Linked DNA regions of Sus scrofa. The protein of the gene in region 1 purifies or fractionates together with the protein of each later gene. This does not show direct contact. Links are inferred from orthologs where the notes say so. Each region holds a gene or a part of one and is shown on either strand. Other genes may lie near its edges.

Evidence for each region.
Region 2: the proteins of ARAF (region 1) and BAG2 purify together in Homo sapiens (affinity purification with mass spectrometry; 3 studies listed by BioGRID and IntAct, with this or other methods). This does not show direct contact. The link is inferred for Sus scrofa from reciprocal best matches to the Homo sapiens genes ARAF and BAG2.
Region 3: the proteins of ARAF (region 1) and FKBP5 purify together in Homo sapiens (affinity purification with mass spectrometry; 4 studies listed by BioGRID and IntAct, with this or other methods). This does not show direct contact. The link is inferred for Sus scrofa from reciprocal best matches to the Homo sapiens genes ARAF and FKBP5.

What each region holds. Positions count from the first base shown.
Region 1 is NC_010461.5:42,076,672-42,081,069, reverse strand, and holds the start of ARAF (serine/threonine-protein kinase A-Raf), read right to left. Parts: upstream 2,869-4,398; 5' UTR 2,818-2,868; intron 2,594-2,817; exon of another isoform or gene 1,695-2,593; intron 1,520-1,694; 5' UTR 1,461-1,519; coding exon 1,365-1,460; intron 1,213-1,364; coding exon 1,109-1,212; intron 1-1,108. UniProt on the Homo sapiens protein: Involved in the transduction of mitogenic signals from the cell membrane to the nucleus. May also regulate the TOR signaling cascade. Phosphorylates PFKFB2.
Region 2 is NC_010449.5:28,670,444-28,674,089, forward strand, and holds part of BAG2 (BAG family molecular chaperone regulator 2), read right to left. Parts: intron 580-3,646; coding exon 470-579; intron 1-469. UniProt on the Homo sapiens protein: Co-chaperone for HSP70 and HSC70 chaperone proteins. Acts as a nucleotide-exchange factor (NEF) promoting the release of ADP from the HSP70 and HSC70 proteins thereby triggering client/substrate protein release.
Region 3 is NC_010449.5:31,462,807-31,466,452, reverse strand, and holds part of FKBP5 (FK506 binding protein 5), read left to right. Parts: intron 1-3,013; exon of another isoform or gene 3,014-3,078; coding exon 3,079-3,235; intron 3,236-3,646. UniProt on the Homo sapiens protein: Immunophilin protein with PPIase and co-chaperone activities. Component of unligated steroid receptors heterocomplexes through interaction with heat-shock protein 90 (HSP90).

The DNA.
Region 1 (4,398 bases):
AGGTGACATGTGTCATGCTCACCAGGGCAGCTCTAGGAATCAGTACTATGCTTTCCCCCATTCTGCACATGAGGAAATAGGCTCAGGGGGACGAAGTGACTCGTCCAAAGCCACAAGGGATTGGGAGGGGCAGGACAGCAGGAAGAGTCCTTGCTCTTCTCTTAACCACACAATGAGGAGCAAATGAGACAGTGAAGAAACAACTAAATCTCCGACGTGCTGAGCCAGCAGCTGGTGAGGCACTGAAATACCAAATATAAAGCAAAGCAAAGTGGGAGTTCCTGCTGTGGTGCGACGGGATCAGTGGTGTCTCTGATGCACCGGGATGCAGGTTTGATCCCTGGCCCGGCACTGTGGGCTAAAGATCCGGCGTTGTGGCAACTGTGGCGTAGGTCGCAAAGGCAGCTCAGATCTGATCCCTGGCCCGGGAACTCCATATGCCTCAGGGCAGCCAAAAAAGAAAAAATAAATTACTTAATTTTTTTTTTTAAAAAGCAGAGTTCCTGTTGTGGCTCAGTGGTAACAAACCCGACGAGTAATCCACGAGGACGCGGGTTCGATCCCTGGCCTTGCGCAGTGGGTTAAGGATCCAGCAGTGCCGTGAGCAGTGGTGTAGGTGACAGACACAGCTCGGATGCGGCACTCCTGTGGCTGTAGTGTAGGCCGGCAGCTGTAGCTCCGATTGGACCTCTAGCCTGGGAACCTCCATATGCCACAGGTGCGGCCCTAAAAAGCAACAAACAAACAAACCCAAAGTTAAGGAGCCCTAAAGCAGAGGAATAAATGGAGGGCGAGCAAGGCCCACACCGCAGATGGAAAATGAGGAAACGGAGGAAGGAGAGAGCGGACAACCTGTTGAAATAACAAAAAAACAAAACAGACGGCGTCCAGGAGGAGAGGATGACTTGAGTCCCAAGAAGAAAATGAGCTGCTGACCTTATGGGCCCGCGAGCCGATGAAGGGATGAGGCAAAGGCTAGTTGGAGTCACTGAATGAAGGGAAGAAGGCTACGGGAGACGATGCCACAGCAGCGTGGAGGAGTCAGATGACTCCGGGATGGGATGGACAGCTGGGCCCCCAGTGGGGGTTGGGGGGGTGCCACGCTTACCCCTTGATGAGCCGGTAGACCACGCAGCAATCCTGATTGAGACCTCGCACCTTGAGGGCCTTGTCCAGAGAGTCGTAGACACTCATGCCATCCCGGACAGTCACCTGCGTGTGCGCACAGATGTGAGGAGTCGGTGCCCCACGGGGTCCCCAGCCCTCGGCAAAGGCGTGCTCCCAGCCCCTGTCACCTTTCTGATCCACGATGTCCAACCGGGTCCCTGCCCACCCCTGGCCAGCTTTGCTCCCGTCAGACTCACCACCGTGCGCTGCTTGTTGGGCAGGTACACTTTGACGGTGCCCACTGCCCGGGACGGCTCGGCCCCGTTGGCAGGGGGGCCCCGTGGTGGCTCCATGGAGCCTAGGACTTTGTCAAGACGGGCTCAGGTGGGGCTGGGCAGGTGCCATGGGGCTCCTGGAAGACAGAGGCGGAATGCAGTGGTCCGGGAACAATTGTTAGGAAGCAAAGTGGCAGAGGACAAAAAAACATTCAGTCCCCAGGCTCCACGTCTCCCCCTGTAGCCTAATACCCACACAGCTCAAGGGATCCAGTTCTTCCTCGGCCCAGCCCCTCCTGTTGTTTGTCTCACCCTTAAGTGCCAAGGTCTCCATTTCACTGCATAGGGCGGGGTGGGGTGGGGGTTAGGACATAAAGAGAGGCAGCACACACTGTCCTGGAGGCCACAGGAGCACACGAAGTCTCTGGGCTGGGGACTAACGGGGAAGTCAGCATGCACTGCACTGGGGCGTGTCAGGTACATAATGGACATGAACAGGCTGTCCTGGCTTTCTCATGGAGGAGGGGTTACCAGATACTGTGGGGTGGGAGGAGTCACAGACAGGGTGCCCTGAGTTTGGGGGAAAGGGGCATTGCACCAAACAATGTTCTTAAGGGCGCCGGGGGCACCCCAAAGCCCTTGGGGTGTAATGATGGTAGACTCACGGACCCTGTGTTAGGTGGCAAATGGCAGTCAGCAGACTGTGATGGGGGGTTCACAGAGGCTCCGCAGACACAATGCTGAAGGGAGATGTGTTAGGGAATCACCAGGGACCGTAAAGGGGAGAAGAGCGGATAATGGGGGAAAGGAGGGACATGGAGCATCACCAGACCTGGTCGAGATGAGAGGTACAAGGGGGTAAAGTGGGGGTGGGGTGGAGGGCGCTCCAAACTCTCCCTGACAACGAAGGAAGGGCTCACAGACATACCACTGCTGCTACTGGAAGGAGGCTGGGAGTGGTTAAAGAGGAGTAAGGGGTGGGAGATCCTCAAACATTCTCCTAGTGGGTCGGACATTGATCCAGAATAAGAAAAGAGAGGAGTGAGCCCCGTCTTCATGCACTCCCCATTGCTGGTAAGAAAGTCTTCCCCTAACCTTAGAGAGATTAAGAAGGACTCCAAGCAAGACACACCACAACCCCAGCCCCATATACGGCCTGGCCCTGCCCACTGAGAGCCTTTCAGCTCTGCGCAGGCGCGCTGCTACACGCGACGGGCGAAACCATCCCCCGCAGCCTTGCACCCCTATTCCAGTCTACCCCCCCTCCCCGTGCTGTCGACGATGGTCTCGCCCCGGGTCAAACCACTCCTCCGGTTCCGGGCAGGGGGCGCCAAGGCCCGGGCGCAGCCATCCCGGAGCTGAGCTTTCGGTCCCGGCTCCTTACTCGTGCCCGGCGGTCGCTCCAGAAACCGAACCCTGCCGGGCCCGCCCTCACCTGTCACGCCGCTACAGCCGCCGCCGCCTCCATCTTGGGCCTCTCTTCTTGTTTCCTCACAGAGTCCGCCTCCACCGCCCCTCGGACTTTGGCCATTGGCTCCGCTGGACTCGGCCCTCCATTCTTATTGGATCAGGGTCACGCCTGTCAAGGCAGGACCCGCGGAATGTGGGTCGTGTTCCGGATTAGGAGGGGCTGCCTGAAACGTCAGGGTCTAGGGCAAATTCGCACGTCCGGGCTCGCGCAGGCGCAGTTGGGAAGAGACCTGCGTGCCATGGGCTTTAACCCCAATCGTGCCATGATGGAATAAAGCAGAGCTATTTTTGTGGGGAGGGGAGGGTCACTAGGGGCTAACTTTAGGAGTTTCCGAATCTGAACGGGGAATCCTCAAGGGCCCTTTTTCACTCCAGTGACCCTGTGCCCAACTACTCATTTGGGACTTTCCTGTGTCTCAGTTTTACCGTCTTTGAAATGGGTTGGAATCAGAAAAAAAAATCTCTGCAGCGTTTTCCGGTTCTAGGAGACTGTAATCATAACCTTTGATAAGAGTGGGTCTCTGGTGTGGCCAGGGCAGGGGGGTCTGGCCCTAGGAGTGAAGGCCTGCTTGCTGTTTGGGGAGGCTTCCTTTAGGAATGGAGTTGATAAGGATTTTCAAAGACTAATCAGGGATGGTCAGGTGAAGAGGGGAGGGAAGTGCGAACCTGAGATGAGGCATAACTGCAGGGAAGCGTGTGTACGGTAAACACAAAGTCTTTTTTTAAAGTTTACTTTTCCCTGGTGTCACAAGTGAAAGAGACTCGCCATCCTCCTTTTTCTTATTTTCTTTAGAAAACTCGTAAAATTTTTCTCTGTCCCTTGGAGAGGTCTGCGACTCTTTAAAAAAGCTAAATAGGCTTTCTGCCAGTTTTACAGTTCAGGAATGCTGTTCTTAAGGTCCTGGGAGCCAGGTCTTTGAAATGCAAAGGTAAACAGCGATTGGGCCTTATCTCCACCTGCGTAGGAATTTGACCTGGGCGGCTGGCTCCAAGTCATCACCTGCTTGTCAAAGAGATATGCGTTTTATTTTTCCTTTGCCTAAAGGCAGATGGCTACCCCAATTACCAGGTGAATTTGAGAGGAACTGTGTGTAGCGAGTGGTGCTGTCAAGTTCTGAAGACAAGTTATCATCTATCTTTAAGACCATGTAGGTCATGGGTTGTATCTGCCTGACTCTATGAAAGGAGGAGATTTCTTTCTCGGAAATCTCTTTAGTGAATTGCTTGTGATGCCCCTCACGGTCTGATTTAATGCTTATTCGATAATAAACCTATTCCGCTCTTCGCTACCTTTGTGGAGAGGATTTGCTGGGTTGGCATGCGATTTATTTGTAATGATTTCCCCAACAGTATGAACCGCCTGTTGTGTTTGAAGTGCATACCTTCTCCCATTAGGAGCCTCGGCATTCCTCTGCAACGCAATGGGAAAAGATCAAAGAAAGGGCATTAGGTGAGGGGGCCTCAACACACTTCAACTTGTATTTATTGAGGGTGTTCTCTGTCTATAAAGAGAAAGACAAAAGTACAGCTCAATGGGCTGTCATAT
Region 2 (3,646 bases), on another chromosome or scaffold:
AACTCCCTTCCCAATTCAAGGACCTTTGGCCAGAACAGTGGAGAGAGACTAGATCTTGACATCTTGACCCTGCTGAGGCTGCGTAGCAGTCTGGGTCTGGGCTAGACGCTCACTGAACGACACCAGCAACGCAACTATTAGCCCGGGGAGCCAGGCTGGGAGGACCACTGGGTGTGCAGAGAATCACCTCCCAGCAAGCCCATCTCTTCTTGGGCAGTAAGCTCTTCCTCTGGAAACGGGTGTCACTGGGTCCATAATCCACTTTCTCTGCCTTTCTCCCCTTTAAGTGACACCTCCACCCAACCTCTCACCCTCTGACGCTACTGCTTTTCACATCCCGCACAGCTCTGGCCCTTCTTGGAAGCATGGACCTGGAGCAGCTCTCGGGCTGGAGGAGTGGCTCTGCTGATGCCCCCCTTCCCCCACCCACCCCCAGGACCCCCCCACCCCCCCGCCCCCCGCAGCGCACCTTCGCTGATCTGCCGCATGTCCTGGCTGTTCTGGATGCTGTGGATCATCTCCAGCAGCACCTCCTTCTCCTGCTCCACGGCAGTGGCCGCTTCTCGCAGAGCTTCCACCCTGGGGACCAAGGGGGGCCAGATGTTATAACCCAGACAGCAGAACGGCTGCCTCATCTCCCCATCCCTCAGTCCAACTCACGGTTAAAGATGGTTAACCAAAAATGCCGTATTCCTTGTTTTCTGTGCTTTTAAGTTTTCTTTTTAATCCACTTGCCCTGCTGCTCCCATTTTCCTCCCCACTCACTGGGCAATAGTTCTGTTTAGCGTTTATTTATTTGTATTTGCTCTACAAAAAAACGGAATACTTGTGTGCTCGCCTATTTTCAACTTATTTATATCTCACTGTTTCTGCCCTCACGCAGTGTATTTTATGACGAAGCACCAGGTTCCTCCGAGTACGTGTAATCAGGAGCTCCTAGGTCTCGCATAAAATGCCACCTTGTGTCCCCACCTGACCTGACCTCCCCGACCCAGTAGAGATGTACCTCGGCGCCAGTTTTTCGTCACCTCCAGTAACAGGTCAATGACAACCTGTCCTCTCGGGGCCCTGATAACAGGCACCATCCCAGGGCAGGGCGGCTTCCTCGCAGGGTGTGCGGACCCTTCATGCAGCTCCATTCTGGATTGTTCTCCAGAAAGCCCCTGGGTCCCCACAGCCCTATCAAAGCTCAGCATTTCCCAACTTTCTAACCTTCTGCTGTCAGTGTAGTAGGTGCTGCGTCAGTACTTAATCTGCCCTTCTTTCATTACTCATCACTTTGGACATCTCTCCGTATCCTTGTGAGGCTGTTCGCAGCCTTTGCCTATCTTGCTTTTTCTTTTTGCACACTGGGGTTACTGTCCCCCTGCCATGTGCACACTCAAGGCGTTAATGCCCTGTTGGTGACAGGCCCTGCAACCACCTTCTCCCATCCTGTCCCCTGTGAAGTGTGTCTGGGCGTCCTTCATGGAGCAGAAGGCCTTGTTCTGAAGGGGTCAGGTCCATCTCTGCTTGGTTTGGTTTTACCTCACGGCTCATATCGGGAAGTTTTGCTGCAGGGCCCTCCCCTCCCCAGGTCCTGAGACGCTTTCCTGCACCCCCGTCTACTAACGTCTGACTTCACCTTTCCATGCTTATGTCCTAATCCACCTAGAATCCACCTTGTGTGTGTGGCTAGGGGAGATGTGTTTCTTTTTCTCCATATAGTGAACCATTTTCTCCAACGTTATCCATCCCCAAATCCATCTTTCCCTCAATGATTTGTAGATTGTCTGCCTCTGAAGTCTCTATTCCATCTTTCGGCACTGTGCCTGTTGTTATACCAACACCCTTTGCTTTTTCTTTTTAGGGCCGCACCCGAGGCACATGGAGGTTCCCAGGCTAGGGGTCAGATAGGAGCTGCAGCTGCAGGCCTACACCACGGCCACAGCCACGCCAGATCTGAGCCGCATCTTCGACTTACACCACAAAGCACAGCAATGCTGGATCCTTAACCCACTGAGTAAGGCCAGGGATCAAACCTCAAGGATCCTAGTTGGATTTGTTTCCCCTGAGCCACAACGGGAACTCCCTGAAGTACTGATGGTAGTTGTACAGACTCTTTTAAGTGTTTTGATACTTTGGATAGTGTTGGTATTGGGAATAATACATTTCTATATACTGCATTTTCTAGTTGGCTATTGCTGGTTGGAAAAAAAAATGCTGTTTTTGTAGTTCATGTTGTAGCTGCCACCTTAACACTTATTCACTTAATGGTTTGATTTTTGATTCCATTGGTTCTTCTAGATGGATGATCATATATATCATCTGCAAAAACGATAATCCTTATCTGTGCCTTTTTAATCCTCTTAGCTCCTATTTTTCTTTCTCATAGTACTGACCAAAGCCCTCCTATATAATATCAAACAATGGCCAGCACGGTGGGTTAAGGATCCAGTGTTGCTGAGCTGTGGCATTGGTTGCAGCTGCAGCTCGGATCTGATCCCTGGCCTGGGAATCCACATGCCCTGGGGCGGCCAAAAAAGAAAAAGAAAAAAAGCCCAAACGATGGTGATGAGCAAGGGCATGTTTGCCTTCTCCGAATTTAAAGAGAATGCCTCTGTGGGTTTTGGGTACGATGCCCTAATCAAACTATCAAAGCACCACTTCCCCCAACCCTACACAGGCACCGACTACGGACTCAGCCAGTCACTAAAGAACCAGGTTGTGGAATCAGGGGAGAAGAAAACAAAATCCTGTGTGTTTAAGGTGCTCTGTTTCCAGGGCATTTTCTTACATATATTACACCACAACTAAACAAGTTGCTGACTTTTGCAAAATAAATAGTGACAGATGTAGCTCCAACACTCAGGCGGCCTTGGAAGCACAAGATCACAGACCTCATCCCGACCGTGCCCTCCGTGGGCGCAGAAGGAACCACCAGGCAGTGTGAGCACAGGCCATATACGGATGGCCCTTCCCCACCAGCCACACGCAGGCCTTCTTCCCAATGGGCACCCACCTGTTGTCCCCCGAAATAGCACCGACAGACAGACGGTAGTCACAGGGTCTGAATTCATCAAGATACTAAATATACGCTGGACTCTGTGTTTATAAGAGCCAGCAGGAGCAAAGAGCGAGGAAGAATCTTATGTGACAAATTTAGCTGGAAAATGCAATCAAAACCAATAGTCTATCAAACAGTAAGAGCGCAGCATGAGGCTGTGTTCCAGCCCATTCATTACAGACTCGTGCCCTTTAATACACACTAGGGAATAGAAACTGGAATCTTCTAATATAACCTAGGGAACCTCAGGCACATACTCTAGAGCCTGGCACACACCAAAAGGGTCAGCTTGGCACCAAAAATGAGACATTCATGAAAAACAAAACATGACTCCAGCATTTCAATGGCACCAAAGAATTACTTGATTGGTAAATGAGAAGATGCCGACAGAAGAGATGAATTTTCCAGCCCTCCTGAGCCTGTATGCACATGTAGGATGATAAAGAGAGAACTGAGAGTTACTCTACAGAAGGAGGCCCATTTATGAGCGTAAGTTTCAACACGAAGCTCATGGGTTGTTAACAAGAAAGTGGTTTGAAAAGAGACGCTTTAGACAAAAATATAAAAATCTGTCACAGAAGATGTTTTGTCATTAAATGA
Region 3 (3,646 bases), on another chromosome or scaffold:
CTTGATCAACCAAAAACCACAACGAATGTACTGATAGTTTCCTCCCCCACTAAATGTACTCTCCTTCAGGGAGGAAAATGCTTCTAACAATAAACCTCACATAAAAAGATCTGTCATCTAAGTTGTGAGCTACTAGGATAATAAATCTCAATACTTGCAATATTTTACAATGTGTGGGCTGAAATTCACTTTGCTCAGCAAATCTTTTTTCATGAAAAGTGTCATCATGTTAATCTAAATTAAATTCCCTGGGCAGATTTTAAAATATATGAGAACACAAACTTTTCATAACTCACAAAATTCTTCAGAAACATGAGCATTTACTCTAGTAAAAATATCTTAAGCCTTGGATTCCCTCAGAACCTCTCTAGCATGTATTTGAAAATAATAAAGTTGAATTTTTTTTTTTTTTTTTGTCTTTTTAGGGCTGTACCCGCGCCATATGGAGGTTCCCAGGCCAGGGGTCTAATCGGAGCTGTAGCCGTCAGCCTATGCCACAGCCACAGCAATGCCAGATCTGAGCCGCGTCTGCAAGCTACACCACAGCTCACGGCAACGCCAGATCCTTAACCCACTGAGCGAGGCCAGGGTTTGAACCCTCAACCTCATGGTTCCTAGTCGGATTCATTTCCACTGTGCCACGATGGGAACTCCAGAAAATAATAAAGTTAAATTTATTTTGAAACTAATTTCCAATCAAAGGAACTCTCATTGTGCTGTGAGCTCCGTTGTGTTTTATCTAGAACATTCCCAAAGTGAATGAAATAGGGTCATCTGCATTCGTGAGCATGGTCCCTGAACAAAATTCCTGTGTGTTGGCTCCACCCTGACAGTCAGCCTAGCCCTTGGCCTGCTCAGAGCGTTTGACTCGAGAGTCAGGCCTGCTCTAGTTTGGCCCAAGCATCTTAGACTCCATCCTGGGTCTGCAGTGGGAACAATGGGATGCTATCAATTGTGATTTAGAAAAGGGTAGAGAGCTTCAAAGCATAAACGACCATGGGACATTTTGGCCCCTGGTGTCTGTGCCACTGCTGTTTACTCTTCAGGGTTTCTCTCCTTTCCCAGGCTTGGGCTAGAGGTAACGCGATCAAATGATTAACTGCAGGAATCAGCTTTGAAGCTGGTTTCTGGCCTATGTCAAGAGTTGTATCACTGGGTCATAGAGAATCATCGAATCTTAGACCTTCAAAGGACGTTTGAGATCAAGTATTTCAAAAGTAGAGTAAGTTGGAATTGAATTTGTATTTAGAAAATAATTGTCTCATGGAACAAGTGTTACAGAACAAGTAGGTTTGTTTTTGGTTTTTTTTTTTTTGCCTCTAAAACAAGTTATTAATCTAAAGTAGACCAACCAGTCCTAGAAAAGAAGCATTTTAGGAATTTGTTACATTTGAATCAAAGCCATTATATTAGAGAAGTGGGAATAAAGAATTTTCCTATGAAAGATAAATTATTATATTGCTTGTTGACTGTTCTGTTGTCATACAAGCCACCCATGTTTCTACCTGAGTCAAAGGCCTAAATGGAAAGGAATGAATATCCTTAACATTAAAGGTAGTTTGAAAGTTTCAGAGAGTGGTTTATGCCACAAGAAAAGGGCATAATATGTGTCTTTCCTATTTGGTCTTAACGTAAAAGCCCCTCATGTAATACGAAACCAGCCTGGGAATGAGCCGAGTGGGTGTGAGTGGAGTGGGAAGTAGGCCCTGAGAAACTGACTTCTTTGCTTAACGTCTCAAGAGTTGATGGGTGAGTTACAGCAGACTCTTGACTCCTTCACATTTTACATGTATTACCCCACTGAGTGATCACAGTGTGTTAGTTATTGATGATGTTGCCTTTGGGTTTTCTGTTTTTATTCAAACATATTTGTGAATGAAATTAAAAAAAAAAAAAGCTTCTGTATTCAGTTAACCCTTGAATATCACTGGGGATATAGCCATTTGGTTTTTTTCTTTCCTTTTTTTTTTTGGCGGGGGGTGCTGCCTTGCAGCATATGGCATTCCTAGGCCAGGGATCAGATCTGAGCCAAAGTTATGACCTATGCCACAGCTGTGGCAATGCCAGATCTTTAACCCACTGTGCTGGGCCAGGGATCAATCCAGCATCTTGGTGCTGCAGCGATGCTGCTGACCTCGTTGTGCCACAGCAGGAACTCCATTGTTCAGGTGTTTTTCAACCAAAGCATCTGAGTCCAAGATGCCATTATAAATGTTTAATACGGAGTTCCCGTCGTGGCGCAGTGGTTAACGAATCCGACTAGGAACCATGAGGTTGCGGGTTCGGTCCCTGCCCTTGCTCAGTGGGTTAACGATCCGGCGTTGCTGTGAGCTGTGGTGTAGGTTGCAGACGCGGCTCGGATCCTGCGTTGCTGTGGCTCTGGCATAGGCCGGTGGCTACAGCTCCGATTCAACCCCTAGCCTGGGAACCTCCATATGCCGCGGGAGCGGCCCAAGAAATAGCAACAACAACAAAAGACAAAAAAAAAAAAAAAAAAAATGTTTAATACATGATACTACCTGTTGCATCATCTAGCATTTCTTTTCTTTATTTTTACAGCTGCACCTGAGGCATATGGATGTTCCCAGGCTAGAAGTCAAATCGGACCCACAGCTGCAGGCCTGTGCCTCAGCTTGTGGCAATGCTGCATCTTTAACCCCCTGAGCGAGGCCAGGGATCAAACCCACATCCTCACGTGTCAGATTCCTAACCTGCTATGTTAGATTCCTAACCCGCTGAGCCGCATCAGGAACTCCCCATAATCTAGTATTTCTTGTTTTTGAGTTATAGTGGAGGAAACCTCTGTGCTATAGTAGATTTAAGTTAAACCTGTGTTTCCACTTTCTTGTCCTCTAAACTATCTTGATTGATAGTTATCAGTAATTATAAATTTAAACTTAAAACAGAAAAAGATATGATTGCTCCTAAATTTCCAGTCTAGGTGGACTAAGCTTTGACAGGACATTCCACGCACATCTCTAGATAAAATTAGGCAGGAGAAATAGTCACTCACCGCCTCCCTGAATTAGCCAGCCCCGAGGAGCTGCTCTGTTGACTGTCCCATCTCCTCTCTCTTAGTCCACCTGGAAGGCCGCTGTGGTGGAAGGGTGTTTGATTGCAGAGACGTGGGGTTCATCGTTGGAGAAGGAGAAGACCATGACATTCCAATTGGAATTGATAAAGCCCTGGAGAAGATGCAGCGTGAGGAACAGTGTATTTTATACCTTGGACCACGGTAAGCAGCATACCGTTTCCGTGTGTGGTGAAGTCATCCGAAGAACTGGGATACACTTGCTTTCTCAGTTGGCATTCTGCTGTTTTCAGCGAAGTTAATGCCAGCAGTGGAAATAATTAATTAAATCAGGCTACAGTTAGTCATGGAGTGAATTAATGGACCTGATAATATTGCAGACGTTTGTAAGCCCGTTCACTTGATTGATGTGTTCATGACAGGACTGACAGGTTGTGCTTTTGTTTTGCTGGTCATAGCGCCAGGACAGGATGCTATTGGCCCTTCTCGTGTGACTCCCTTGCCCCTCTCCCCTTTTCCCTAAGTTAGGCAGGAGGCAGTGAAACGTGGGGGCTGCAAGCAGAGGACGCATTTGGATGATTTATTGCCAGTTGAATCTGTGCCACCTGTTCTTAT